Cricetulus griseus: one gene and its partners. Each later gene encodes a partner of the first gene's protein in a complex. Links are inferred from orthologs where the notes say so. Each region holds a gene or a part of one and is shown in the gene's direction. Other genes may lie near its edges. The genes, in order: Lsm6, Lsm5, Lsm8, Lsm3, Usp39, Snrnp40 and Prpf3.

What was found.
Region 2: Lsm6 (region 1) and Lsm5 share a complex: the UniProt entries of both Homo sapiens proteins name them as parts of the precatalytic spliceosome. The link is inferred for Cricetulus griseus from reciprocal best matches to the Homo sapiens genes LSM6 and LSM5.
Region 3: Lsm6 (region 1) and Lsm8 share a complex: the UniProt entries of both Homo sapiens proteins name them as parts of the precatalytic spliceosome. The link is inferred for Cricetulus griseus from reciprocal best matches to the Homo sapiens genes LSM6 and LSM8.
Region 4: Lsm6 (region 1) and Lsm3 share a complex: the UniProt entries of both Homo sapiens proteins name them as parts of the precatalytic spliceosome. The link is inferred for Cricetulus griseus from reciprocal best matches to the Homo sapiens genes LSM6 and LSM3.
Region 5: Lsm6 (region 1) and Usp39 share a complex: the UniProt entries of both Homo sapiens proteins name them as parts of the U4/U6-U5 tri-snRNP complex. The link is inferred for Cricetulus griseus from reciprocal best matches to the Homo sapiens genes LSM6 and USP39.
Region 6: Lsm6 (region 1) and Snrnp40 share a complex: the UniProt entries of both Homo sapiens proteins name them as parts of the U4/U6-U5 tri-snRNP complex. The link is inferred for Cricetulus griseus from reciprocal best matches to the Homo sapiens genes LSM6 and SNRNP40.
Region 7: Lsm6 (region 1) and Prpf3 share a complex: the UniProt entries of both Homo sapiens proteins name them as parts of the precatalytic spliceosome. The link is inferred for Cricetulus griseus from reciprocal best matches to the Homo sapiens genes LSM6 and PRPF3.

What each region holds. Positions count from the first base shown.
Region 1 is NC_048596.1:154,693,812-154,697,876, reverse strand, and holds the start of Lsm6 (U6 snRNA-associated Sm-like protein LSm6), read left to right. Parts: upstream 1-1,265; 5' UTR 1,266-1,403; intron 1,404-1,806; exon of another isoform or gene 1,807-1,825; intron 1,826-2,665; exon of another isoform or gene 2,666-2,735; intron 2,736-4,065. UniProt on the Homo sapiens protein: Plays a role in pre-mRNA splicing as component of the U4/U6-U5 tri-snRNP complex that is involved in spliceosome assembly, and as component of the precatalytic spliceosome (spliceosome B complex).
Region 2 is NC_048601.1:84,604,289-84,608,588, forward strand, and holds the start of Lsm5 (U6 snRNA-associated Sm-like protein LSm5), read left to right. Parts: upstream 1-1,500; 5' UTR 1,501-1,576; coding exon 1,577-1,622; intron 1,623-2,541; coding exon 2,542-2,637; intron 2,638-2,915; coding exon 2,916-2,943; intron 2,944-3,865; coding exon 3,866-3,938; intron 3,939-4,300. UniProt on the Homo sapiens protein: Plays a role in pre-mRNA splicing as component of the U4/U6-U5 tri-snRNP complex that is involved in spliceosome assembly, and as component of the precatalytic spliceosome (spliceosome B complex).
Region 3 is NW_023276806.1:207,804,434-207,808,429, reverse strand, and holds the start of Lsm8 (LSM8 homolog, U6 small nuclear RNA associated), read left to right. Parts: upstream 1-1,196; 5' UTR 1,197-1,317; coding exon 1,318-1,348; intron 1,349-2,268; coding exon 2,269-2,309; intron 2,310-3,996. UniProt on the Homo sapiens protein: Plays a role in pre-mRNA splicing as component of the U4/U6-U5 tri-snRNP complex that is involved in spliceosome assembly, and as component of the precatalytic spliceosome (spliceosome B complex).
Region 4 is NC_048601.1:52,288,973-52,293,186, reverse strand, and holds the start of Lsm3 (U6 snRNA-associated Sm-like protein LSm3), read left to right. Parts: upstream 1-1,414; 5' UTR 1,415-1,543; coding exon 1,544-1,564; intron 1,565-4,060; coding exon 4,061-4,171; intron 4,172-4,214. Other genes in the region: Xpc (DNA repair protein complementing XP-C cells), read right to left, coding at 1,185-1,278. UniProt on the Homo sapiens protein: Plays a role in pre-mRNA splicing as component of the U4/U6-U5 tri-snRNP complex that is involved in spliceosome assembly, and as component of the precatalytic spliceosome (spliceosome B complex).
Region 5 is NC_048601.1:64,058,663-64,062,162, reverse strand, and holds part of Usp39 (U4/U6.U5 tri-snRNP-associated protein 2), read left to right. Parts: intron 1-963; coding exon 964-1,031; intron 1,032-1,935; coding exon 1,936-2,124; intron 2,125-3,438; coding exon 3,439-3,500.
Region 6 is NC_048595.1:22,668,699-22,672,198, reverse strand, and holds part of Snrnp40 (U5 small nuclear ribonucleoprotein 40 kDa protein), read left to right. Parts: intron 1-2,710; coding exon 2,711-2,831; intron 2,832-3,494; coding exon 3,495-3,500. UniProt on the Homo sapiens protein: Required for pre-mRNA splicing as component of the activated spliceosome. Component of the U5 small nuclear ribonucleoprotein (snRNP) complex and the U4/U6-U5 tri-snRNP complex, building blocks of the spliceosome.
Region 7 is NW_023276806.1:60,657,867-60,661,366, forward strand, and holds part of Prpf3 (U4/U6 small nuclear ribonucleoprotein Prp3), read left to right. Parts: intron 1-555; exon of another isoform or gene 556-651; intron 652-1,290; coding exon 1,291-1,437; intron 1,438-2,976; coding exon 2,977-3,060; intron 3,061-3,229; coding exon 3,230-3,450; intron 3,451-3,500. UniProt on the Homo sapiens protein: Plays a role in pre-mRNA splicing as component of the U4/U6-U5 tri-snRNP complex that is involved in spliceosome assembly, and as component of the precatalytic spliceosome (spliceosome B complex).

The sequences.
Region 1 (4,065 bases):
GGTTTCAAATAGCCCAGCTGATCTCAAACTCATTTTGTAGCCTCAAATGAGCTTGGATTTCTGATCCTCCTGAAGCCACACTTGGGTGTGCACTGCTGTGCCCACCACTGTGGTGCCAGAGATGTTAATGCACACCAGGCATGCCATCAACTGAGCCAAATCCTCAGCTTCCAGTTTGATTTACAAAGCAGCCTGTTTTAGGGACAGGGCATAGCACTTTTCTTCTCTGCAGACAGTTATTTGATTTAAATGTGACTTTACTTGTGTTCTTAATTTTATATTTTACATTTCAAGAGCCTAAAATGCTGTCTTATCAATGTCTGTAGTTGACGGTCTTCGAGTCAGCTGAGGTTTTACAGAGGATAGAAAGATATGGCTGTTCCTTACCAAATCTCAGCCAGTTCTCTGTCTGTGGCACCAGTCACTGGTCTGTTTCTTTCGCCATTCACTAAGAGGCTCTTAGGAAAGGAGGAACCACTTTCTGTCTCAGGAAAAAGTTCTGCATTGTAGGACCTGTAAGATCTAACAGGGTGTGTAGCTGTTGTTTGAAGGTCTTATAACTGTGTTGATGATTAAACATCAGAAACAATTAAAATATAAATCTTAAATACAATATAAAAGAGAAATTAAAATATAAATGTAAAATATAAATGAGAGCATGGGTGTAGAAAAAAAGGAATCAAGTCTTCCTGTAATCTCTTCCTTCCATAAACAGTCAGCATACACTAAGAATTCATGCATTATCCCCAACCAAGTTCCCCCACAGCACTTAAATGGTATCTGCATGCTGTTTCCAATTAAACTAATTTGTAATGTCTTTTTACAATTGGCGCCATTGTAATAGAGTTGCTTTAAATTATTTATATTTTTGTAGCAAAATTGCTATGGAAACAATCTCTAACAGTAACTTAAACTTCATACATTTAATTAATATTCAGAAGTCGGTTGGGAGCTTGAGGCTTTTAACTTTTATTTGCTTTAAATTATTTAAGGCTATTTGGGGTACTTAATAGCCTATTATTTTAATCGTAAGTTTCTGTTTCCTGTCATTTTTAAGGTATTCTTTACTGTATTGGAATCTCAAAAGATTACTTCTAAATTTTTTTTCTTGGTTGTTTTGCTTTTGATTCGATTTTCTGGCAAAAAAAAAAAAAAAAAGACGGCAACATCAGAACACCGGCATTTACTTCAGCCCCTGGATGCTGAATTCACCACTGAAGAAACCAATTCTTGGAAGTGAGCGTTATGGAACGGCCTGATCCTTTTGGTCCCCGCGGGCTGCCGTAGGCAAGGAGGCCGCTGATTGGGTGAGGCAGCGAAGCGCGCTGCCGGGGGCGGTTTCGGTTTTCGCCGCGCGCGTCCGCGGAGGCCCGGCCTGTGAGGGCTCCGGATCCGGCTGCGAGGTGAGCCCGCGCGCGGCCCGGGAGGGAGGGGCGGTGGGGCGGGTGGGTGCTTGGAGCGGAGCGGTCGGCCTAGGCCGCGGAGGGCCGGGGCGGGCGGGGTTGCGGCTGGAGCCCAGGCCGGCCTGCGAGCAGCGGAAGGCCGTCAGGGCCACGCGGCCTCGCGCTCCCGCGCCGTGCGGTCCTGCCGTGCGCGCGCCGGGCGCCGGCTGTGTCAGCCCGGGTTAGGCGGCCGCCGCTCCCGCGCCCCCCTCCTCCGTGCGCGCTCGAGTCCCTCCACACGAGGACACGAGGAGCCGGGGAAAGGATCCCTGCTGGGCGCTTCCGTCTGCCCACTCCTCTCCTCCTGTGTGTGCCTGCTTCTCTTTCCGCTAGTACTACCAGAAATACTCGGTCTTCTGTCTACGTTAAACACATGCAGCCAGGTGTAACTTTAACATTCATTGCTTTTGTTTTGTCATTGCCTGGGTCCCATAAGTGACTCCGGTGTTTCCCCGATGGCTTCATCTTAGCGTCCATGCGATCCTGGGATGCACTTCCCGCCCTTGACTCTATTTCTCACCATCTCCTTGGACAAGTTCTCAGAGGAGAAGTCATTGGGTTAGATAGTTCTTGCACGTTGCCGGGTTGGTTCTCTTTAAAGTGTTAGTAAATTACCTCGTTCGTGTGTGACACCGGTTCTTTCACCAAATCCGTGAACACGCCTCCTGTGTTTCTAACAGTAGCAGAGTACAGCCTCTCTTTGGAATCGTTACTGATCTCGTTTAAACTTGCACGGAGTTTCTCAGTCTGGCCTTGAACTTTGGATCTTCCAGCAGTTGTGGTTCCGGGGTTACTTCAGGCATTGTTATTTTTTATTGTAATGCCTGTCGTTCTGCCATCAAGGTTTTCCTGCCGAATCTTCGTAGGAGGGGCAGGGAGAGAGAGAGAGCTGGTATTAACTGTGTGTGTTGGTATTACTGCACAACTTAACCACGTGCTTACTGGTATTCTCTCTCTCTCTCTCTCTCTCCCTCCCTCCCTCCCTCCTCCCTCCCTTCCTGTCTCTCCCCTCCTCCTCCCCCGTGTGTGTGTGTGTGTGTGTGTTGTGTGTGTGTGTGTGTGTTGTGTGTGTGTGTGTGTGTGTGTGTGTGTGTGTGTGTGTGTGTGTGCGGTGTGTGTTGGTATTAACTGTGTGTGTGTTGGTATTACTGCACAAGTTAACCAGATGCTGGAACAGAAAGACATAGTCAGTAACCATCTAGCATAACTCCCTTATTTTTCAGATGAGCCTGGGGCCATGAGAGGTGAGATGGGTAGCAGAGGAGATTAGAATACAGGTTACCTGCCTCCCAAGTGAGTACCCTTAACTACTGCATCAGGTCTTCTCTCACTGAAGGGTGGCCTAATAGAATTTTTTTTATTTGATTTTTTTTTTAATTCCCTGGCTTGCTTTCTCCTTTTATAATGAAGGACTGGAAAATAGAAAAGTCACTTTTTTTGTGTGTCCAGAACTAGAAATTTATTAGAATGCCAACCCATTCAAGATTTTAATGGTTGTTTTCAGGTTCTCAGTGTTGGGATAAAATACTCCTGATAAGTAAGACAGTTGTCCCTCAGTATCTGAGAGGGACTGGGTACAGAGCTCCCAATATTAAAAAGTGCATGGATATTCAAAGTTCCATATGTGTGTTTGCATATAACCTATGCAGTCTTCCTATGTTGTTCACATCATCTCTAGATCACTCACAATGTGTAATAGGATGTAAATGGTTGCAATGGAATATTGCTTAGGGAGTAATGACAAGGGAAAAGCCCTTTAGCTCTGTAACAGGTAAAACCATTGGAGCTGTAATTGCAACTTCATGTTACTAGATGTTGGCTGGATACACAGATAAGGAGAGGTGACTAGTTTATGTACTCATCATCTGGTTCTCATTTACATCTTGATTATTCTAAAGTACCTTGCTTGTTGTTTAAACCAGAAAATAAGGTTTGAAGAGGAGGGGAGGAGGTGGTAGTGGCAGTCATTCTGTGAGTTGACACGTTGCATCATATAGTCCTTTGTTGTAAAGGACTAGACTCTACACCAGTGGTTCGCAGCCTGTGGGCCGAGTCCATGAAAGACCCTTTCATGGAGATCACATAGCAGATATTTACATATGATTCATAACAGTAGCAAAATTACATTTATGAAGTAGCAATGAAAATAATTTTATGGTTGGGGTCACCACACATGAGGAATTATATTAAAGGGTTGCAGCATTAGGAGGGTTGAGAACCACTGCTCTACACTGTAGACTGTTGAGGGATGTCCTTGGCTTCTCTTCACTAGAGTCTGATTCCCGCTTTGACAATACATAATGTCTGTAGACATTTCCAAATGTTCCTAGAGGGTGGGGCACAAAAATCACCTTTGGTTGAGAACAACTTGCTCTTAGGAATTACCGTAGGCAACTTGATGTCAAAGTGCTTATGGTCAAGCCTGGCAACCCGAACTCAATTGCTGAACCCCACTTAGTGTAAAGAGAGAACAGACTCCCAAAAGTTATCCTGTGGCATATGCTTATTGCCCCTGCCCCACTAAATAAAACAAATGAATAAAAGCAATAAAAACAAAAAGCAAAGGACAGCCTTTTGGCTGAGTTAGCTACAGCAATCTGTGTCTGAACAGGCATCTTTGTAG
Region 2 (4,300 bases), on another chromosome or scaffold:
TTTAACTTCTTTAAGCACAAGGAACTTAATCAGGATTCTTGTTTCAAAGGATGGCAGTAAAGAGTGTATTTGTGCAGTTGGGAGGCAGAGGTTGGTGGATCTTCGTGAGTTCAAGGCCAGTCTGGTCTACAAAGTGAGTTCCAGGACAGCCAGGGCTGTTACATAGAGAAACCCTGTCTTGAAAAACCAAAATAAAAGAATGTATTTGTAATTGCCCCGACACCTAGTAGGTACACGAGATTTATGGAATGGGGTTTGTGGGGAAAAGCCACCACTGGCTTGAAATTGAGAATGGAGTGGAGTTTCCAAGGATCCCTAGAGGCATTGCTTTATCTATTAAACTTCATAGTGCTATATACATACAATTTATTTGTCCTTCTTCTCACTCACTCTTGTAGAAGACTTTTCTGTACATTGCTTTATATACCCAGCGAGCTGCTAATTAAACGGTGTATGAGGGGTGCTTACCAAACACTGTAAAAATGAATGGTGTTGATTATGATCTCTCCTATTCAGATTGTTTAAGTCCCTCAGACACAAATGAGACAACCGAAGCTAAAGAATTTGCCTGCTGCTTTTTTTTCTTTTTAAGTAGGGACAACCCAGGTCTCATGAAGTCATGAATGCTAGGAAAGCACTCTAGTGCTAAGCAAGGTGGTTAAGCTCTCATTAGTTTTTATTTCCTATTTCGTGTCAGGGTCTTACTAAGTTGTCCATGCTTGGCAACTGTGGCCTCCTTCTGTTTCTTAAGCGCTGGGATTGCTGGCCACTCCTCACAGCAGCTTTTTATCTTTTTCCAAAACACAAGTGTGATAGCATGTTTTCCAAATGTGATGACACCAACATACGGAGTGACATCTAGCAGTTACCTGTAAATCAATAAGTGTTAGTAACTGCAAAAGCCTGCAATAAACTAGACTTCTAAAAGGACAAGAAGAAGCCGGGCATTGGTGGTGCACGCCTTTAATCCCAACATTGGGGAGGCAGAGGCAGGCGGATCTCTGTGAGTTCGAAGCCAGTCTGGTCTCCAGAGCGAGTTCCAGGACAGTCCCCAAAACAATACAGAGAAACCCTGCCTCGAAAAACCAGAATAAAATAAAGTAGCAAAAATTAAAAAAAACCTTTGAATACTCGGTATAGAATATTTTTAAAAGATGCTTCGTAAGGGTTTTCAGTACTCTAGGCTTAAAAGTACAGGATTCCTTAAGAAAATGAGTAGTAGTTGAGACAAACGCAGAACGAGTTGGTGATAGCAAATCCTCATTGATTTTATGGCTCTGAAGAAAGATCCAACCTTTTAGAGGAAAACTAGCCGACTCAGAGATCTCGTATGTTGTAGTCTTCAGGCAGATATAGAGGAGACAAACTGTCAAGTTAGCAAAACTTCGGGGGCACGGGATGGTGGCACCGATATAGTGCGGAACTATTCTATCGAGTCTGTCGGTGATCCATTTGGATACCCCGCGATCGCCAGATCTGCCTCCGATTAGTTCCGTCTGAGCCAGTTGTGGGAAAGGGCGGAAGCGCGCTCTTTTAAAGTCTGCGCCCGTAGCCCTATGCCACTTCCGGCGTGGCCATGGCGGCTAACGCGACCACCAACCCGTCTCAGCTCCTGCCGCTAGGTAAAAGTCTCGCCCGGGGCGCGGGCGGGTTGCTGCGGCCCCACGCCCGCGCCGGAGGCTTGCCCCTGGGGCCGCTGCGGAGACCGAGCCCGTTGTCTGTCGGCGGCCGGCGGGGGCCCCACTTGGTGAAGGACGCCCTCGGCCTTGCTTGTGAGCTCGCCGGTTAAGATGTCCCGGTGCCGGCCCAGCTCGCAGTGTGGCCTTTCCGGTCTACACCTTAGGGAGCCCCTGTATTGCATTTGGCGGTGTGAGGAGGGCGCCACGGTCTACAGTGACTCCTAGAAAGAAATCTGGAGACTAGCTCCGTCATTCGTTCGTTCATTCATTCATTCATCCATCCATCAAGCAGTTCCCTCCCCGTGCCAGGGTACTGTTGAATAACGAATTTAAACTACGGCCATTGCTTTCAGATAGCACACTGAAAGACTTCGTGCCGAGCAGTTCTCGGTTGGCCACGGAGATGCTCAGGTTGGTCTCCAAGCACAGAGCTAAAGGCAAGATGAGAGAAGTGACAGGAAGCTGGTGTCGGTCGTGAGGCCTCTCCTCTGTCATGTTTTGGCGCCGGTGAAGTTAGTCAATGTGGCAATGATGGAAAGTTCTTGCAGGGTCCACTCCAGGGTATGTTCATCGGCAGAAACACTGATGAGGAAAAACTAACATGGTTTCCACCTTGTGGTGTAATTGTTTTTCATACATTAACCAAATAGTCAAAATCACAGTCCCGTTAGTTGCAGCAAAAAAGGAGGTAAGCGAAGGCCAAGACAAACATTTGTGCTAATGGCTGAGCGGAGATTTGTGTAAGATGTAGTTATTTAGTGACTGCTTTTTGTTTCTCTTTAATGATACGGAAATAGTAAAGTGAGCACTCGAATGCTTGTTGAACTAATAAGTGGGTAAAACAATCTTTTTCTTTCCACAGAGCTCGTGGACAAGTGTATAGGATCAAGAATTCACATTGTGATGAAGAGTGATAAAGAAATTGTTGGTACACTTCTAGGATTTGATGACTTTGTCAGTATCCTTTTAAAAAGTGTTCATGGAACAGGTTTTTAAAGATGTATTAATATAAGAGCTGTAGACAGATGACATATTTCTGTTTATTACATTAAAAATTATTTATTTTCCAGGAACTTGGTAACATTTTAAGAGGTGTGCTTGCAGAAAGCAGATAGGGTTCTCTCCAACAACAAACCTTTTGAATTTGCACCATTGTGTTGAACATTTTTGCAACCAAACAAAAACATAAACCAGAATAAATTCAACCTTGTTTATTTTCTTAACAACAAATTTCAGATATGGTGTTGGAAGATGTCACAGAGTTGTGAGTAGTATTAAAAATGACAAATAAATGGGGGAGGAGAGGAGGAAATATCTTTTTGAATTAAAGGCAGGTACCCTAGTTCCTTTTCTGTTACTGTGAAGAGACAGCATGGCCAAGGCAGTTTATAAAAGAGAGCGTTTACTGCGTGGGCTTGCTTACAGTTTCAGAGGGTTAGAGTCCACGTTTTTTCATGGTGAGGTGTGTGGAGGCAGGCAGGCAGGCAGGCAGGTGTGGGGCTGGAGCAATAGCTAAGTGATTCTATGTTGAGATAACCATGAGACAAACAGAGAGCCAACTGGTTATAATTTATTCTTTTGAAACCTCAAAGCCCACCGCCACAGTGACACACCTCAGACAAGGCCACTCCTCCTAGCCATTCCCAAACAGTTCTGTCAACGTGAGCCCGTGGAGGCCATTTTCATTTAAACTACAATAGCAGGATTAGTATGATGGATAAAGTATTACCTGTTGGAATTCTTTTAATGCTGACTTATTTACCGGTATTTGTGAGGTTGGGCCAGAAGATTATTATCTTAATGTCATTATTCCTGAATTTCTAAGAAATTAGTGTAAACACGCTTTATAGTGACTTTACATTTACTTCTATATTATATCTTTGTAATATATCTTTATATTTACTTCTGTATTTATGAAGTTTTATATTTACATAACTATTATCTGGTGGGCAGACTGTATTGCTGAAAATTATTGTAATTGTATGAGTTCACATTCATTCATATGTAAGAATAACAGTTTTGATGCTAGGGATTGAACCTAGGGCCTTGTGCTCTGCCACCCAGGTGGTGCTCTGCCACCGAGCTAACCTCTTTACCCCAGGAATAATTTTTAGAGAGGAAAAGCGTTTCCAAAATAATTGCCTTTGAATACTTGTTTATCCTGACTCCATTTTTTATCTATTTAGTGAAATTACACCAGAAGGAAGAAGGATTACAAAATTAGATCAGATTTTACTAAATGGAAATAATATAACGATGGTAAGACATTAAAGCTGTTTTATTTTGAATTTAATTACTTTTATAGGGCAGGGATTACAGAACACTGCTGCTTAGCTCAGTGTTCACGGTCTAGACATGCTGAGGATGGGAAGGGAGCCTTCAGTGATCAGTGCCCCAACGCAGCTATTGAAAGAGCATTGGGCCTTAAGATTCATTTGCTTATTAATCTTTATTACCTTTAGTTCATCAGGAACCATTGTTGAAACTCTTAAGCATCAATTAATGTTGGGATTACTAGCAGATGTTGATGATCTGGGAAATGGGAATTGAAGGATAGGGGAGAGACAGTGGTGGCTTTGGTCCATGAGGAGCACATGGGGAGTTTTAGGTGGTATGATAGT
Region 3 (3,996 bases), on another chromosome or scaffold:
CAAGGACACCAGCTGCAGCAAGGACCCCATTCGTTTGGGAACAAAGGAGTACCCACTTTCGACTGAGGGGTGTTTTTAAAAGGGAAAATTGTAGGGCTGGAAGCCCCAAGATTACATAACTTCAGTAGTTACACAGGACAGGACAAAGATTGTTATGCTTCATGCAAGGTTTAATTAAGCAGGATACTGCAGAGGAAATGGGTTTGTTAATAGTCTCCTGGGCTGGGGACTTCTACAATTGATAACTATCTGATCCTCTTTGGACCAGAGGAATGTGAGTGCCATTCTAGGGTGTGATATCTGGTCTAAGGGCTTGAGTCCTGAGGCCCTTTGTTTAACCTTGTCTGCTGGACTGCTTTTTGGGAACTGAGTTTTCTTTTTGGGCTTTGGAGTCTGGGTTTTAGATTTTATTAATTTTCCCCTTTCAACACACACTAAAATTTTAAAATATTGGTTATGTACGGTTGACTGACTAACACATTTGTACAGCATCTAAGTGAAATCAGATCAAGAGGAGTTTAAGTGACTTTACAACAGGGACATCAATTATCAGGGATAGAATTAGAACCCAGCCTGGTGCTTAGTTTACGCTTTCCTCTAATCGGTCCCTTCAGAGTGGCAATGTAGACTTTCTTAATTACAACTTTCATCCCCAAGAAAAGCTAAGCCTCGATTTAGCCGTGCAAAGTGACCATCTATCGCGCACACCTTTCCCTCTCTGGAGTTCGTTTCCTTAAGGCTGCTTCGTGACACCTGAAGAGCCAAAAGCAGAATGCACGAGCACTTTTGATAGCTGGGCTCTCCCTGGAAATGCACCTCGTGCGGGCTACAAAGACGTTCGCTTTGCACCGCGCCATTTGTCTTTCGGAACTTTTTTTTGGCTCGCGCTGGAGAAGGCTAGAGCTCCCTTCCTCCCAAGGACGAGCAAACATCTCATCTAGGGCGTCTCCGGCACAGCCGATCTTCCCACACGACCGCGGCTCCCGCCCCTCCGCTGGCGAGCCTCCCAGCGCCTGCATCCAGCCCACACTTCCGCCCGTCCCCGCCTTTGTCCGTCTCCCTCTACCGACCGGCACCCGGAAGCGCGGCGGATGCACGCTGCGCACGCGCGCGAGTCAGTCCCCGCCCGGCTTCCGGTTTGGTCGGCTCCTTGCGAGTGCCGATTGGCTGCTAGGTACTCGTTGGTCTCGCGGTATCTGTGCTCACCGGCGGGCGGGCGGGCGGCGGGAACCGGTACGTGCTTCTGGCGGCCCGGCCGTGTCTCGTCTCCTTGTTGCCGGGTTGTCTCCTGTTCCCGGGACCTCCGGGCCCAGCAGCATGACGTCTGCCTTGGAGAACTACATCAACCGTATCCTCGGGCGGCTGCCCAGGCCGCGGCGGGGCGGGGCGGGGGCGGAGACCCGGGGCGGCGGGGAGGACTCGGGGTTCGGGACCGGCGGTGGGGTCATCCGGACAGACCCGGGCCCTTTTCACCCGGCACAGCTTCCCTGCAAGGAGCCTTTGGCTGGATTGCTGCAGATCCCTTAGGGCTTGTGCGGGCCAGCGTCGGGAATAAGTTGGACCGGTTTTCTCAGGGCTTGCGGTTGGCTCGAGGCTCGCATGCATAGAAAGGTGCTTGGTTCTCCAAGGTGAATTTCGGGCCCCCCCTGGAAGTGTCCATGCGATACCCTTAGAAGGAAAGCCTGGAATCGTGTTGGGCTTCAGTGACAGGCAAGGAGCTCTTAAGATCCCAGGTGAGATTTTAAATTACAAGCGCTGCTGCAAAGTCAGGACAGAAACCGTGCACCGAGCACATCTGGTACAGACAAGAAACTCAGGCGTTCAAAGCAGAGAGCTTTTAAGGAATCCAGGGTTGTTTGTACTTGGTGGCATTAATTATGACCAGGTCTTGGACTAGGGGAGGGGGCTTAACGCGCCACAACGGTGCAACATTGATAGTTACGCGTCCAGTTTTTATTTCAGAGGTGAAGACATTGGTCTGAGAAAGGAAGGGATTGTATCTCTCAGTGTTAGGGATTGGAACCCATTGCTGTTTTAAACCCAGGGTCAGATGTCAGACTCTACCCTTCTCCCATTAGATTTACTGTTTTCAGGATAGAATTGAAACAAGTTTCAAACCTTCAGTTTTGTACCTCGTGAGCAGCGGCTGTGTCGAACCTTCATACCGCCACTTTTTTCTTTTTTAAGTAATTGAGACCATTTCCTTACCAGGCTGAAAGTTTTCACTCTGCAATCTCTAAGAAATACTTTCCTTGACGCAGTTCTCAGGAACCGTCGCCGTTATCACTTCTGATGGGAGAATGATTGTGGTGAGTGGCATTTTCAGTCTGCTTCTTTGTAGGCTTATTGATTGTAAATTTGAAGTTACGTTTCTAATCTAATGCTGAGGTACCACGGTATAACCTCGATTCTAGTGTTCTTATGATCCAGCTGTTTTATTTTTTTAAGAATGTTTAAATTTAAAGTACACAGTGTTCTGCCCGCATGTATGCTGGAGATCCAGCTGTTTTGACAGACTTTTATCTCTTGGCTGTCAATACAGCTTCCCTAATAAACCTTGAAGTCTTCTGATCTGGAATGCAGAGCTGTGCCGACTAATTTTCTTCTTGCATTCTTTTTTTTTTTTTTAACCTCAATTCCTTTTGTTTGTTTTCATTTAGAGCTCTTTAAGGATTTACAAATTATGCATATGCTCTTGTAAGTTGCTTAACAATGGGGAGATCCAATCTGAGAAATGTGTATTCAGTGATTTCATTGTTCTTCAAATATTGTGAGAGTGGTTTCAGAAACTAAGTTAGCTGTGACTTCACTGGGGTATGATCTTTGGGACCATTGCCTCATCTACTGTCTCTGCAATATTTCTTTCACGGCTGTAATTTAATCCCATGTTTTCCCATTCGTGATTTTGTTTTCTTAAAGATTTATTTTTAGTTAGGTTTGAGTGTATGTCTGTTTGTTAGTGTCTGCCATGTGTGGTGGTACACTACACAAGGAGCCCAGAAGAGTTGTCAGATCCACTGGAGCTGGAGTTACAGGCCATTGTGAGCCACACTAGGTCCTTTGGAGGAATAGTATATACTTTTAACCATTTCTTCAGCCTCCTTATCTTCTTCTGAATCCCTTTGATTCTTCTTGCTCTTTAGTGAGCAACACCAGTCAAAGTGATAGACTGCCATAGTAATTGCAGTGCTTATCATATGCTAGGAATTTTGTGTTATTTAGTCTGCAAGGAATCTCAAGAAGAATTATCACTTATATTGTAGATTAGGAACCAGGCTTAGAAAAAAAAAAAAAAAAAAAAAAAACCAAGTTACTTTCACAGAGATTCAGTATAACAAGTGTGTTATAAATTGAGTTTTATTCCAAAACCCATAAAGGAAACAGGTGTCTTAAGGTTTTTTGTTTAGTGGTGGTGAGTTTACACTCTAAATTTGTCAACAGTAGGCAATTTGGAATGTGAAATTAGGAATATGTTTGTTTAAACATTGAAAGAAGTCTGTTGCATTTATCAGATAATTTACAAATAACTGATTTTTGAAATCCTCAGGTTTAAATTTCTTATATTTCTGTTAGAAAATGCTTATAGAAGAAAAGCTAAACAGAAACTTTGTATTGACACTCAGTAGTTCTGTCTTTATCGTACCTGATAAAATAATTGCATATATAATGAAGATGAGAGCACCTTTATAGGGGTTTATGATAACTACCATTTGCCAAGTGCTATAATAAATAGTCTAATTTGTTTTTCTTCCCAATTTCTACATTCCAAGTTTCTATTTATTTCATTCAGATTCTATACAATTATGGTTTTTCAGAACAGGGGGGTTTAAAGGTGTACCCAAGAGATTAACCAGCCAAATCTAAAAGAAGCTATTTCTTCAGAAACTTAAACAGCATTCATTATATTACATTTTGCTATAGCCACAAAATTTTTCCTGAGTATTTCCTTCAAGTTAAGTTCTTGATTATTTTGGTTCTACATATGTCTACTATATT
Region 4 (4,214 bases), on another chromosome or scaffold:
CAGTTCTGGGGAATCCAACACCCTCATCTATTTAACATCTGCAGGCATGGCCCACACATTGTGCACAGACATGCATGCAAAAAACATATGCATAAAATAAAAAAATAGTAAAGTGTTTTTTCAGAGATGTAAACAAGAGAAAGAACAAAATAGGTTAAGAAGGGAAATGAGCTTTGTTTTTATGAAGCTTACATTGTACTCAAACAATCAGAAATGAAGATGACTGTAGAATGATAGGTGAATAGGAACATCACTGTGATTCTGTGGTGGAGGATACCTAGGAATGACTACTTTAAGATGACCGTGGAATGTCTTAGACCTCAAGTAGAGAAGAAATTAGACCCAGCAACAGCGACGGAGAACATTCTAAGGCAAAGAAACATGGAAGGCCAAGCCTCCAGATAAATAAACAGTATATTCAAAGAAGAGAAAGGCAGTCACCAAGAGCCATCTGTAATCCCTGTGATCATGAGGATGAGACAGGAAAAACCCAGAGCTCTAGGCCGGGCTGCTGTTTAAAATAAGAATATCTGGAAGAGAGACATGCTAAGTGAGGTAGATGCTATACACGGAGAGCACACATCTAAGAAGGTTTTAAGTAAGAAGACCAAGGCATATGAAGTTTTGTTGTCGTTCTACATCACTTGGCTGCTGGATGGAGATCTGATGTAGAGGGGAACTCACTCAACTAGAAAACGACAGGAACAGGATACCAGCTATGAAATTAAGAGAATTAGGCACATATTTCAGTGACTCCGAAGCTGAACTGGACCTCCTGACGAACTAGCAGTTAAGAAAAGGCGTGTTTTAACAGGTGGGTGAAGGAGTGATTTATTGAGATGGGAATATTTTAAGCTTCTCCTTGGTTCAAGACCAAGGTAAGAAGCGCATCGCAAACCTGGGGCCGGAATTACAGTGGATGCAACTTGGAGAGAGATTCTCACACTACAAGGTCTCCCTCTGTCCTAGTTTTGGTGTCTCTCTGACACCGGGCAACAGGGAAGCTTTTTCCTGATCGGCCCTCAACACTTGCCAAGAGGCTGGACTTGGTCCTAGGGGTTACGGTGGGGTCAGGGCTGATGGTAGAGGCCCTCGGGGCGCCGCGCATCCGGCCGTGGAGACCTTCCGCCCCGCTGCCCGCCCCAGCCTCCGCCACCATCGCCTTGCGCGCCGCAGCCTCTCACCCGCCTCGCTCTCCTCCGGCCGGGCTGCTTTGTTGTTCTCGGCTTCTCGGCCGCGCCCCCGCCGCCTTCCTCCCGCAGGGCGCTTCGGAGCCATGCTGCCCGGCAGCGACACTCCGGGCTACCGCAGCCAGCCGGCCGCAGACACTCTCCGCGTGCTCGCCCCGCCCCGAGGCGGGCCATGCCTGGGCCGCGCCCCCTGACCAGGTTGGGACCACGCCCTCCGGAGAAACCCCTCCCCCTGCAAACTACAGGGGCGCAAAGGGACAAAAATAAAGTAGGTCTACTTCCCGAGAGTGGAACCCTTTGCGTTTCTGAGTGCCTGTTCTCGCGAGAGGTGGAAAGGGCGCAGCGTTTGAAACATGGCGGACGACGTAGATCAGGTAAGTTTGTCCGGAGGCGCTCTTAGAGGAAGCGCTTGCGCTTCCAGGTCGGGTTCGCGTTTTCCACGCTCGCTGAGAAGCGGCCCGTCTCTCTTTGTCCCGAGGAACCACGGCCTTCCGTAGCCGCGCCGGCTCCTGAAACTTCCGCAGGCCTAGAGTTTTCTCAACCCGCCTATCTGCCCATCACGCTCGGCATCGGCTTTTATCTGTAAAATGCAAACGGCTGTCGACACCAGACAGAAAGCGTGAGGTAGTGGTGGACACCAGCTTTGTAATACGTGCAAGCGCCTGGTGCGCAGGCAGCGGCTCACTTGGAGTGCAGTAGGAGGGAGGGAGGGAGGTAGAGAACCTGGTGGAGATGTAGTCTGGAGAAAGCAAGCCAAGATCGGGTGCACACAGGATCACAGGCTGCCCTCTTCACCTGCTCTTCCCCCTATTCCTTAGCTACCTGTGGAGTTCCGAAATGATTGCACTCCCTCACACGCACACGCACCCACACACGGGTATTTAAAATAACAGAGCATGTTATTTTAAATATGTATTTCTTTATCTGAGACATTTCTTCCATAACTAGAACGTAAGTTACTTAATAGGGGCATTGGGGCGGGGGTGGCTGGAGAGGTTGCTTTAGGAGTTAAGAGCACTTGTTGCTTTTGTAGAAGACCATGGTTGGGATCCAGCACCCACATGTTGGCTTAACAGCACCCCAACGCATCTTAACTCCAGTTGCAGGAGGGGATCCTCTGCCCCCTTCTGGCCTCTGCTACCGAGCACTGTGTCAGCGTGTGGTGCACATGCATACAGGCAAACTGCTCACATACACGATAAAAGTAAACCTTTAAAATAAAGGGGGGTTTTCTGTGTTTGCTTTTCTTTCCTAGGTTTAGGACAGTGCTGTTAGCACTCAGCAGGTTATTAGTTGAGGGAACGAACCCAATGTTCAGGGGCAGCTTCTTTGAAAAGGCAGAATGTAAAGCTTACAGGGTGAAAAGGATTGACAGTGGCCATCCTAGACTGAAGAGGGCTGTCGTGGGAACAGATTTCATTGTTTTGCAGCTATGTATTTATATGCCCCTCTCCATACTAGAGTGAGCTCCATTGAGGGGATGCGGCTTCTGTATTGTTGTAATCCAGTGGTTGGTTGTCTGATTTCTTAACAAAAGCCTGCTGAGCTAAGGTGGGAGGAGGAAAGCACCAGTTGAGATCCGGGGTTGGGGGTGTTCTGGGAGGGTTGTTTGTTTCCTGTCATCAGCCTCATATCTACACAGCCTACAATTTTCAGCTTTCACTGACCCCAGGTACTCACTGGAGAAGCTTGCTGAATGGTCTTACTAATTCTTGATGGCTGGAACCACCTCTTTCATATAGCTGAATCCAGGTCATCCCAGTTCTAACCTTTGAAACCTGTTCCAACAGTTCTTGAAGAGTAATTCTGATTTATCATTCCTCTGAAATGACTGACCAAGAATGCATTCTTAAATCTTGAAGCAAGCAAGAGATTATATTAAATATAAGAAATTACAGGTGCTGGGAGTGGGGCTGGTAAGATAACAGGTAAAAATGCTTGCAGTTTGTAAGCGTGACAACCTGAGTTCAATTCCTGGGACACACAGAGGAAGGAGAGAACTTTATAAAGTTGTCTTCTGACAGCTACTTGAACCCCATCACACACACACACACACACACACACACACACACACACACACACACACACTCTTAAAAGTTCCAGACTCGGTTCATACCTGCCCAATCCCAGCATCTGAGAGGCAAAGACTTGCTGCTCATCAAAGGCTGTCATGGGCATGCCTCTTAAAAAAAAAAAAAAAGGTAATTATTTAGAAGTGTTTCCTTTTTACTTCAGATAGACCCTTTAGTCCTTATAAGATCTCTGAGGCAAAGATGTGGTCTCCCCAGTTTGCAAATGAGGAGTCTGAAACAAGAAATGGCATGATTTTTAATCCCAGTTCAGAAGAGCCAGGTCAGAACCCAGAATTGAACAAAGGCTTCCTAATGACTCAGTTCTTTTAACTTCTATACTATACTACTCGGTAGGTAGGTTCATCTTGCCAGCCAATTAGCACCCTAAACTTAACCTGCGCTGTACTGACTTCAAATTCTGTCAGATCTTTTTAGTAGTGTGTGAATAGGTATTGCAGGTATGTTTTTCAAATGATTGAATTATACAAAAGATAAAGCTAAGGTTCCTAAGTGGTACTCTAACACTTTGGATTTTTTGGAAGTTCAGTCATCATTTTGCTACTTAACTCCTCTCCACATAATGTTTTTCTCCTCTTTTACATAGCATCGAGGCACCGTTCTAAGCTTTCATATGTCATTTAAAATAATAGTATTGGGGAGACACTATTTTCTGCATTTGGCAAATTAGACTAAGGTATAAACGGGTTATGTGACTAGCCCTTGGTTTCACTGCTTAACAGTGATTGAAACACCACTCTGCCTCTGGTGGTCCATTACTAAGTGTGTTTCCTTCATCAGCAACAGACTACCAATACCGTAGAGGAGCCCCTGGATCTCATCAGGCTCAGTTTGGATGAGCGAATTTATGTGAAGATGAGAAACGACCGAGAGCTTCGAGGCAGATTACATGTAAGTCTTTTAAATTATCTCAAAACCAGATGTTTCCCTATCA
Region 5 (3,500 bases), on another chromosome or scaffold:
AACTCTTGATCCTCCTGCTTCCACCTTCCAAGTGCTAAGTTTATTGCTGAGAACTGCCACACCCACTTCTACTCGATGTTTTGACTGAATTTTAAAAAAAGATTTATTTATTTTATGAGTATGAATGTTTTGCCTGCTTTTTGCTATGTGTACCATGTGGGTGCCTAGTTCCCTCAGAGGTGAAAGATGGCATTGGAGCCTCTGGAACGGTTGCAAGCCACCATGTGGGTGCCTGTTGCTGGGTCCTAATGGCTTCCTGTGGGAGGGGGTGAGAAGGCGAGGAGTCAACTGTACAGACACTAGGAGTCAGTTGAGAGGAAAAACAACAGACTTGTTTATTTAGCAATGGGAGAACCTTATATACCCTCCGAGCACCTGGATTCTGATCCGTTGACATCATGTGGTCATCTCTCATTGGCTAGGGACCTCCGACAGCACCAGGTGAGCTCCAGGTTAGCTTATCTCTTGGCCTGGTAGGCCTTAACTTTCTACAGGTGCCTGGTTCCCTCAGAGGTCAAAGATCAAAAGATGGCGTTTGAGCCTCTGGAATGGTTTTGAGCCACCATGTGGGTGCTGAGAACGAAACCTGAGTTCTCTGCGTAAGAGCAACAAGCGTTCTAAGCTTCTGAGTCATCTCTCCAGGTCTCTCTCTTTTTAAAATGATTCTGTCTTTAAGCTGTGTAAGTCATTCATTTCAAATGTACATTTTCCCCTTTCATGACCCAGCCCAATGGTGAAAGAGTGTCCTGTAGAGGAGATAAAATGTAATTACTTAGAGAAATAATTATGTAGGTTCCATGATGACATATGTTACCAAGCGAAGCTTCTGTGCTTAGGCAGAGCTTGAGTCTTACACTGTTAGGGTGTTGTGGTTTATACCAGAAATTTACAGGTTGGGAATATGTTCTGACATGCTTTCTGGCCTCAAAGACTTTGTACTTTGCTTTTTTTTTGTTTGCACAGCTATTGTGACTGATGTTTTCCAGGGGTCAATGAGAATATTCACCAAAAAGCTTCCTCATCCTGATCTGGTGAGTGTCCAGGACAGAATTTTAGCCTGATACATGTTTCCTGAGGGGCTTGGGGAAGCAGGAACTTAGAGAACAGACAGAATGAACCCCACAAAGGAGTTCACAAAGCACCTACTGAGGGCTGGTTCTGTGCCCATAGTGGTCATGGACTGTGAGCTTCAGCCTTTGTAGTTGGTAGTCTGTTGGTTGAAACAGGTTGACCGATGAGTGGTACTGGTGTGTTTTTCGAAGGCTCAGCTGAGCTTCTTGTGTAATTGGAGAACTTTTTAAATAGTATGGTGTATAAATAAACTCCTTCCAAAGAGGAAAGCAATTCGTTTTTTCTTTAAAAGTTGGCCTATAAAGTAACGGGTTTGAGAGTGGTGTTTCCAAACACATGTGTCATTACACTTCTTTTTCTTTCTTTTTTTTTTTTAAGATATAATTTATTTAACTTTATGTGAATTGATGTAAAGGTATCAGATTTCCTGGAACAGGAGTTACAGACAGTTGAGCTGCCATGTAGATGCTGGGAATTAAGCCCAGGTTCTCTTGAAGAGCAGCCAGTGTCCATAACTACTGAGCCATCTTTCCAGCCCCAATCACCCTCTTTTATTGCCCTCTGCTGTTCTCAGTGCCCTCTTCCTGGCAGGTTTCTTTTCCACAAATAGTTCCTCCTTTTGCTTCATGTCCTATGTATTCCATTACCCTCTTTCCCCTCCTGAAGGTCTCCTCCTTTGTAGTTGCATGACCACAGGCATGTGCACACATGCCATTTTTTTAATTAATACTGTCAGGCAGTGGTTCTGAATACAGCTGCCTGGGCTCTGGACTAGGGAAGATGTGTGCGAGCATTGTGTCTTCTGTGGGTTTGCTTCATTCTGTTCACAATCCTCTCCTCTTTTGTCTTCTCATTTATTTCTAGCCAGCGGAAGAGAAAGAGCAGCTGCTCCATAATGATGAGTACCAAGAGACAATGGTGGAGTCCACGTTCATGTACCTGACACTGGACCTTCCCACTGCCCCACTCTACAAGGATGAGAAGGAGCAGCTCATTATCCCCCAGGTGCCGCTCTTCAACATCCTGGCCAAGTTCAACGGCATCACCGAGAAGGTAGCCAAATTACCATCCTTGCCCTTTTCTCTTGGTTTGTATTTTAACTTTCTCATCACCAGCATCCTACCTTCTTTTCAGTGTTGACAACAGGGCCTCGGAAGTGGAAGGCAAGTGCTCTACAGACTAGTTACTCCTCAGTTTCTTTGTCTTTTTACATTTCAGAATCACCACATAAATATCATATACTTAATCTAATCTTTTTTCAATTCTCCCAGCCTCTCTGGTGTTTTAACTCTTAACTTTAGAGCCCCTTCTTACATGGCTCCTGCCTGCCTCTGAGTAATGTATAGAAAGGTAGGAAATTTAGATGTTTGGAAACTCAAGATATACAGAAATCTCATCTTAAAAAAAAATATTTTGTTTTGTTTTTTTTGAGATAAGGTCTCATTTAGCCAAGTTAGCTTAGAACTTGCTGTGTGGTCAGAACCAGCCTTGAGTTCTTTTTTTTTTTTTTAAGATTTTATTTATTTATTATGTGTACAACATTCTGCTTCCATGTATATCTGCACACCAGAAGAGGGTACCAGATCTCATAACGGATGGTTGTGAGCCACCATGTGGTTGCTGGGAATTGAACTCAGGACCTCTGGAAGAGCAGTCGGTGCTCTTAACCTCTGAGCCATTTCTCCAGCCCCAGCCTTGAGCTCTTGATTGTCCTTCCTCCATCCAAGGGCTGGCTTACAAGTATGGGCCACCACTTCCAGCTCCAACAATTACTTTTAATTTGTCTAGTTTGCTCTTTTTGTTTGTTTGTTTTTGTTTTGTCTTTTAAATAATATGGGCACTTACCCTTAATTCAGTCTCAGTAGCAATTTGTTGGGGCAGTATCATGATGATGCTGGACTCTTTTTTTTTTTTTTTTTTTTTGGAGACAGGGTTTCTTTTTTTTTAAATTACATACTTCTTTTTTTTTTTTTTAATTTTATTTATTACCTATACAGTCTTCTGCCTGCATGCCAGCAGAGGGCACCAGATCTCATTCAAGGTGGTTGTGAGCCACCATGTGGTTGCGGGGAATTGAACTCAGGACCTCTGGAAGAACAGTCAGTGCTCTTAACCACAGAGCCATCTCTCCAGCCCAGAAACAGGGTTTCTTTATGTAGCCTTGGTTCTAGCAATGTGATCATATACTGAAGCAACCCATTATATCTTACTCAGTGTTTGCCACATTGCTGATCTTAGCCTCTTTGGTGATTTCTGGGACTAGGTGTCTTCTGATCTCTAGGTGTGATGCAGAGCTATGTTTAAAAACCAGAACAAAGCTCAGGCCCCTGTTGAATGCTGGCACTGATGTCACCAAACTCTTTCCAGGAATACAAGACTTACAAGGAGAACTTCCTGAAGCGCTTCCAGCTCACCAAGCTGCCTCCATA
Region 6 (3,500 bases), on another chromosome or scaffold:
TGGGTGGCAAGTTCTCACACTTGCAATCTTCCCATCTTAACCTTCTGAATGCTGGCATTGTAGGCTTGTATTTAAGGGGATTCAAAGTGGGTATTTTAAAAAGTGTGTGTGGGCTGGGCATTGATGGCGCATGCCTTTAATCCCAGCACTCAGGAGGCAGAGGCAGGCGGATCTCTGTGAATTCGAGGCCAGCCTGGTCTCCAGAGCGAGTGCCAGGATAGGCTCCAAAGCTACACAGAGAAACCCTGTCTTGAAAAAACAAACAAACAAATAATAATAAATAAAAAATAAAAGGGTTCTGTGTGTGTGTGTGTGTGTGTGTGTGTGTGTGTGTGTGTGTGTGTGTGTGTCCTTTAGGAGGCAGAAGAGGGTTCTGATCCCTTGGAGCTAAGTTAACATGTAGTTGCTAGCCACCCAGTGTGGGTACTGGAAACTGACCAAGGATGCTATGCATCAGATACTCTGGAACACTGAGCTACCTCTCCAGCCCTAGTATTCAAATTTTTACATCAGTACATTCACGTAACTCCTTTCTGAATAAAAGAAAGTGCTATGCTTTAGGGGATATCATATATTTTATTCATTTAGAAAAATTACATGGCAGTATTAAATGAATTTCTTTTATAATAGCAATCACCTTCAGAAAATTGCTAATCTTTTTCCTTGTGACATCCAGGCTATTTCTGTTCATTTTAATGTTTATTTTTACATATTTGCTTAATCGCCTATTATGTAAATATATTTATATTTTGGCTTTAGAGTTATTTTAGGAACTGCTAAATAATATTTAGAGCCTGCCATGTACCAGGCATATGCAAAGCATTCTTACTTGTAATCTTTCACAATGAGAGAGCACTTGCCTATTGTGCTTGAGGCTCTATGCTCAATCTCCACCACCACAAAAAATACAAAAGACAGACAGAAGACATGCATATACTGTTGGGGCTGGAGATGGAATCAGTGGTAGAGCACAAAGCCCTGGACTTGAACCCCAGTGATGAACAAACAGGGAAGGGCAGAACTCCTAGATACTCTTGTGACTGTCTTCCAGAAGAGGCTCAAAGGACTCTTTGCCTAAACATGCTTTCCATTTTCTTTCTTCTAAAAATATATATATGCATATACATACATATGTATTGTTTCTATATACATGTTATAAGATGAAAAATCTTAGTTGTTTTCAGTTTCATGTTTACTTTATATAATTTTGGGCATTACTTTCAGTAAGTCAGTTATCTGATTTTGTCCCTGGTTGACCTGGAGCTTGCAGCAGTCCTGCCTCTGTCTCTAGTGATGATCTTTAGTTTTGTTTTTGAGACTTCTGACCTCAAATATACTATATAGCTAAGGGTATCTTTGAACTTCTGACCCTCTGCCTTTCCTCCCAAGTGCTGGAATTCAGGGGTGCACTTGGCATCCCCCCCCCAAAAAAACAGGGTTTCTCTGTGTAGTCCAGGCTGTCCTGAAACTCACTCTGTAGACCAGGCTGGTCTCTAACTCATAGAGATCCACCTGAGTGCTGGGATTAAAAGTATGCGCAGCCACCACCTGGCTTTTTTTTTTTTTTTTTTTTTTTTTTTTTTGAGATGGCCTTATAGCCAAGTTAGTCTGGAACTCTGTTCAAGCTGGCCTCAAATTCAAACTCTTTCTTCATCTGCCTCCTGAGTGCTGGGTTTAGACATATACCACTAAGCCTGGCATCTGGTATATATAGTTGTGTTTCTCTTTTTTAGATTTTTACACTTTATTTGATGTATATGAACGTATGTGCACCACATGTGTGCCGGGTGCCAGAGTTGGTGAGAAGAGGGCGCTGGACCCCCTGCACCTAGGGTCACAGATAGCTGTGAATCACCATGTGATGCTGGAAGCCAAACCCAGATCCTGTGGCAGTACAGCAATACTCTTAACCTCTGAGTCCTTTCCCCAGACTCAAGTTTGTTTGATTTATTTGTTGCTGTTGTTGTTCTTATTGCTGGGGTTTTTTTGTTTTTGTTTTTTGGTTTTTGGTTTTTTTTTTTATATATATATAAAGATTTTATTTATTTATTATGTATGCAGTCTTCTGCCTGCATGCCAGCAGAGGGCACCAGATCTCATTCAAGGTGGTTGTGAGCCACCATGTGGTTGCTGGGAATTGAACTCAGGACCTCTGGAAGAACAGTCAGTGCGCTTAACCTCTGAGCCATCTCTCCAGCCCCTTGTTTTTGTTTTTGTTTTTTGTTTTTTTGTTTTTTCAAGACAAGGTTTCTCTGTGCCTTTGGAGGATGTCCTGGAACTAGCTCTTGTAGACCAGGCTGGTCTCAAACTCACAGAGATCCACCTGCTTCTGCCTCCCGAGTGCTGGGATTAAAGGCGTGTGCCACCAACGCCCGGCTACTGTTATTTTTAATGTAAGGTCTCTCTATGTGACCCTGTTTGTAATGGAACTGTCTCTGTAGGCCAGCCTGGCCTTGAACTCAGAGATCTGCCTGCTTCTGCTTCTAGAATCCTGAGCCATCGTGTCTCTACTTCTCTTTTCTTTCTTTTTTAAGATAGTGTCTATGCAGTCCTGGCTGTCCTGGAGCTCACTTATGTAGACAAGCTGGCCTCAAAGTCACAGAGATCCTCCTGCCTCTGAGTGCTGAACTTAAAGGTGTGCACCACCACACCTGGCCTTTCTCTGCTGTTTTTCAATTTGAATATTGAGTGCAGTTTTGTGTTTTTATAGGTTTGGGACCTGCGTCAAAACAAGTTAACCTATACCATGAGAGGCCATGCAGATTCTGTCACCGGCCTGAGTTTAAGTTCTGAGGGATCTTATCTCTTGTCCAATGCAATGGACAATACAGGTAACTTTGGAGAACAAAGCTGTTCTTGGGCTAGTGTCTGTTGACCCTAAAAGGGAGGAGGAGTTGGTATTAAATGAAATGCATTGGGGAAGCAGTGATTGGACTCAGCTAGTTAAACTATCTACATTCAGACTAGATTACTTGAATTTGATCCTGGGACTCGAAGGCAGCTGGGCAGTGATGTTGCACACTTTCAATCTCAGCACTTGGGAGACAGACACAGGCGGATCTCTGGGTTCAAGGCCAGCCTGGTCTATAGAGTGAGTTCCTGGACAGGCAGGGCTGTTATACAGAGAAACCCTGTCTCAAAAAGAAAGGGGGAGGGGCTGGAGAGATGGCTCAGAGGTTAAGAGCACCGATTGTTCTTCCAGAGGTCCTGAGTTCAATTCCCAGCAACCACATGGTGGCTCACAACCATCCGTTATGAGATCTGGTGCCCTCTTCTGGTGTGCAGATATACATGGAAGCAGAATGTTGTATACATAATAAATAAAATCTTTTAAAAAAAAAGAAAGAAAGAAAGGGGGGATTAAAAAGAGCCTTAGCAATTAGTATTGTGTTGTATTGGTCCTCCTCATGAAGGAGACAGTATTTGTTACTGACATGGAAGCTGCTGGCTCATAGTTGTGTTTGTTGCTTGACTGGTTTGGATTTGCTTTGTAGTGCGAG
Region 7 (3,500 bases), on another chromosome or scaffold:
TAAGATTCTAAGCACGCACCATCATACTCACTCTAAAGTGCTTTAGATACCTCGGTATCAATTGCTGGTCCTGAGACACAAAAAGATAAGTAGTGACTGCCTGGGGCTTGGGGCCACATTATAGGTTCAAGACTCTATATAGAAACTCCTTTCCCTTTGGTTTTTACAGCATAGGGTGATTAGAGAAATCAGATATGGTCCTTACCTGAAATTAGTCTGCAATTTAAAAGTGAGGAGTTGCAGTAAATCAGCCACAGATTATAAAACCTGAGTAACAGTTAGAACTGATTATAGAATTTCAGACTTGTGTTAACCTTAAGAGGTATGATTAGTTCACAAACAGATCACCACACTGAAGATTATGTTATGATAGTACTATGCCACTGTAAGTGCCAAGCTCACGCTCTGAATGCATTGACAACATTGGGTGGGATAGTAGAAATGGTTTCTTGAGGGAGAATCTAGATAGCATGGGATATGGGTCCCATTTTTGGTCCATTCAAGTCCCCACTCCACACAATATATTATGGGAGAGTCCTTTTTCTTGAACTGTAGGAGTTCCAGGAAGCGCTCGCCCCTGGCTGAGGATATGTCCTTGCAAAACACGAGCCCTCCTAGTGAAGAGGGGATGTCACCCAAAGCCTACCACCGGTGTGTACATTTGCTTTTTCCCATTGTCCCTCCAGTTGGCCACTCTTGGTCCTATTAAATTCATTTTGCAAATTAGTCAACATATTTGAGTTCCCATTGTATGATAAGAAGGAAATGTTATTGGGGAATACTAAAAAAGAAAAAGCCTCTTTTCTGAAAGAACTTAGATTTTAATTGGGAGAAAGTATTACCTAACACTTGGCAAACAGTGTCAGCAATATAATGTAATCTAATATGAACCAAGCTGTAAGTGCTTAAGAGGATGTGGAAGAACAGTTGATCAGAGTGGGATGAGATGATAATGAGCAAAACTTCCTGGAGGAGGTGAGTTTTAGACAGGATTTATGGGAAAGGATTTAGAGGAAGATCACTTCAATGTAGGCAGTAGCATTGGCAAAGATCTTGAGATGGGAACATTATAAAAACATGGGGATGAAATTTGCTTGAATGGGGTAGGAAATTGGTGAAGTTGGGTGAAATGGTCCACTTGGTGGAGAGTCTAGAAGACCCTTTGAAAGCTGTATGAAAGATTGTGTCATATTCCCCTGGGAAAACACAGGATACTTGTAGGGTCGGGATGGTTCTTCCCTTTTTCCCTAGGGAGGGATACGATTCTTCTTTCATCTTGGGTTCCCTTAGGAGGTGTTCGGTGATGACTCTGAAATCTCAAAGGAATCATCAGGGGTAAAGAAGCGGCGAATACCCCGTTTTGAGGAAGTAGAAGAGGAGCCAGAGGTGATCCCTGGGCCTCCATCAGAAAGCCCTGGCATGCTAACAAAGCTCCAGGTTAGTTAAAAGAAGCAAAGTGATGTTGTGAGTTGAAACAAAAAACATTGGTCCATGTTCACTGTGATCTTCATTTGAATTAGTGTTAACCATTTGGGGAAGTTTTTCCTGCTTTATATTCTAGCAGTCCTTGGTTTGATCAGAAATAGTCCAACTAAGGATTATTGAAATTGTATGTATTGAATACCTAGTGTGTACATCATTGTTTACCCAGTTGTCTACTTTATCATCAGGGAAATTAAATGAAATGATAGCACTAGACTTGACTATGTCCTAAGAGTCAAGGACTCTTTCTGAACTTCATTAGGAAACAACAAGGGGTTTATAGAAACAACTCTAAAGAGGCTGGCACCATTTCTCCATGGTTACCTACAGTAGAAATTGATCTGCTGATAGCATGATTATTTTTTGAGACAAGGCTTACTATTTAGCCTGGCTGGCCTGTGATTCCCTGTGTGTAGAACAGACTGGGCTCATACAGTGATCTGCCTGCCTCTGCCTCCCATGTACCGAGATAAAGGTGTGTACCAACGTTCCTGGCTGGTAAACATGTTTTTTTTAAAAATAATGCATATTTCATTTTATGTCTACATGCTTAAGTATGTGTATGTACACCATGTGCATGTAGGAACCTGTGGAAATTAGAAGTGTCAGATCCCCTAGAACTAGTTAGGAGATGGTCATGAGCCACTGAGTGGGTGCTAGGAACTGAACTCACGTCCTCTGCAAGAACAGTTGGTGTTTTAGCTCTTAACCATCTCTCCAACCCTGCCCCCACTTGTGTAGTAATTTGGTAGGAAGTGTGCATACATTACTTTCCCCCCTTTTAGATTCTTGGGAGGTTAAGATATTCATAACCTTATCCAATGTAATACAGGCAGGAAGTGGCACAGTTCGAAACTCACTACCTGAGTTTCAGTCACCATAATGGTGTATACTACCTAATATACCAGTCCAACCTTGGGGGGAAAGATTGAAAAATTGTAGTGCTTAATTTTTTTAAATTATTTCTTTAAAAGATTTATGTATTATATATACAGTATTCTGCCTGCATGTATGCCTGCAAGCCAGAAGAGGACACCAAATCTCATTATAGATGGTTGTGAGCCACCATGTAGTTGCTGGGAATTGAACTCAGGAGCTTCAGAAGAGCAGCCAGTGCTCTTTACTGCTGAGCCGTCGCTCCAGCTCACTTAATCTTATAGGCTTATCTTTGCTAAATTTTCTTTTTTTCCTCCCAAGACGGGGGTTTCTGTGTAACAGCTCTGGCTGTCCTGTAACTCGCTTGGTAGACCAGACTGGCCTCAGAGTCACCTGCCTCTGCCTCACATGTGCTAGGATTAAAGGCGTGAACCAGCATTGCCTTACTCTTTACTGAATTTTCTTCTCTAAGGTGCAGGGGTGTGTGTGGGGGGGGTGGGGGGTGAGTGGGTGTGTGTAACATTCACAAACTTTTAGGTCTCTAGAACTGAATGCATTTTCATTGGGAACATTTATGGGAGAAATTGATCTTTTCCAATTTTTCCCTCTGGAGAACAGATCAAACAGATGATGGAGGCAGCAACACGACAAATTGAGGAAAGGAAGAAACAACTGAGTTTCATTAGCCCCCCTACACCTCAGGTATTGTGTTCAGATTATTCTGAAAGAATATTTAGCACAAGATTTGTTGTCATTCGTTCACATGAGAATCCAGAAAGTGCCACAATTACCTACCATAGTCTATCAAGGTGTGTATATATTTGTATGCCTATTTCAAACCCTTGGATTTCTTTTAATCTTTATCTTATAGCCAAAGACACCTTCTTCTTCCCAACCAGAGCGACTTCCAATTGGCAACACTATTCAGCCCTCCCAGGCCGCTACTTTTATGAATGATGCTATTGAGAAGGCAAGGAAAGCAGCTGAACTACAAGCCCGAATTCAAGCCCAGCTGGCTTTGAAGCCAGGGCTTATTGGCAATGCCAACATGGTGGGCCTGGCTAATCTCCATGCCATGGGTATAGCTCCACCGTGAGTATCTTTCACAGAATCCCTTATCACTTCTGAAGTTTTAGGAGTAG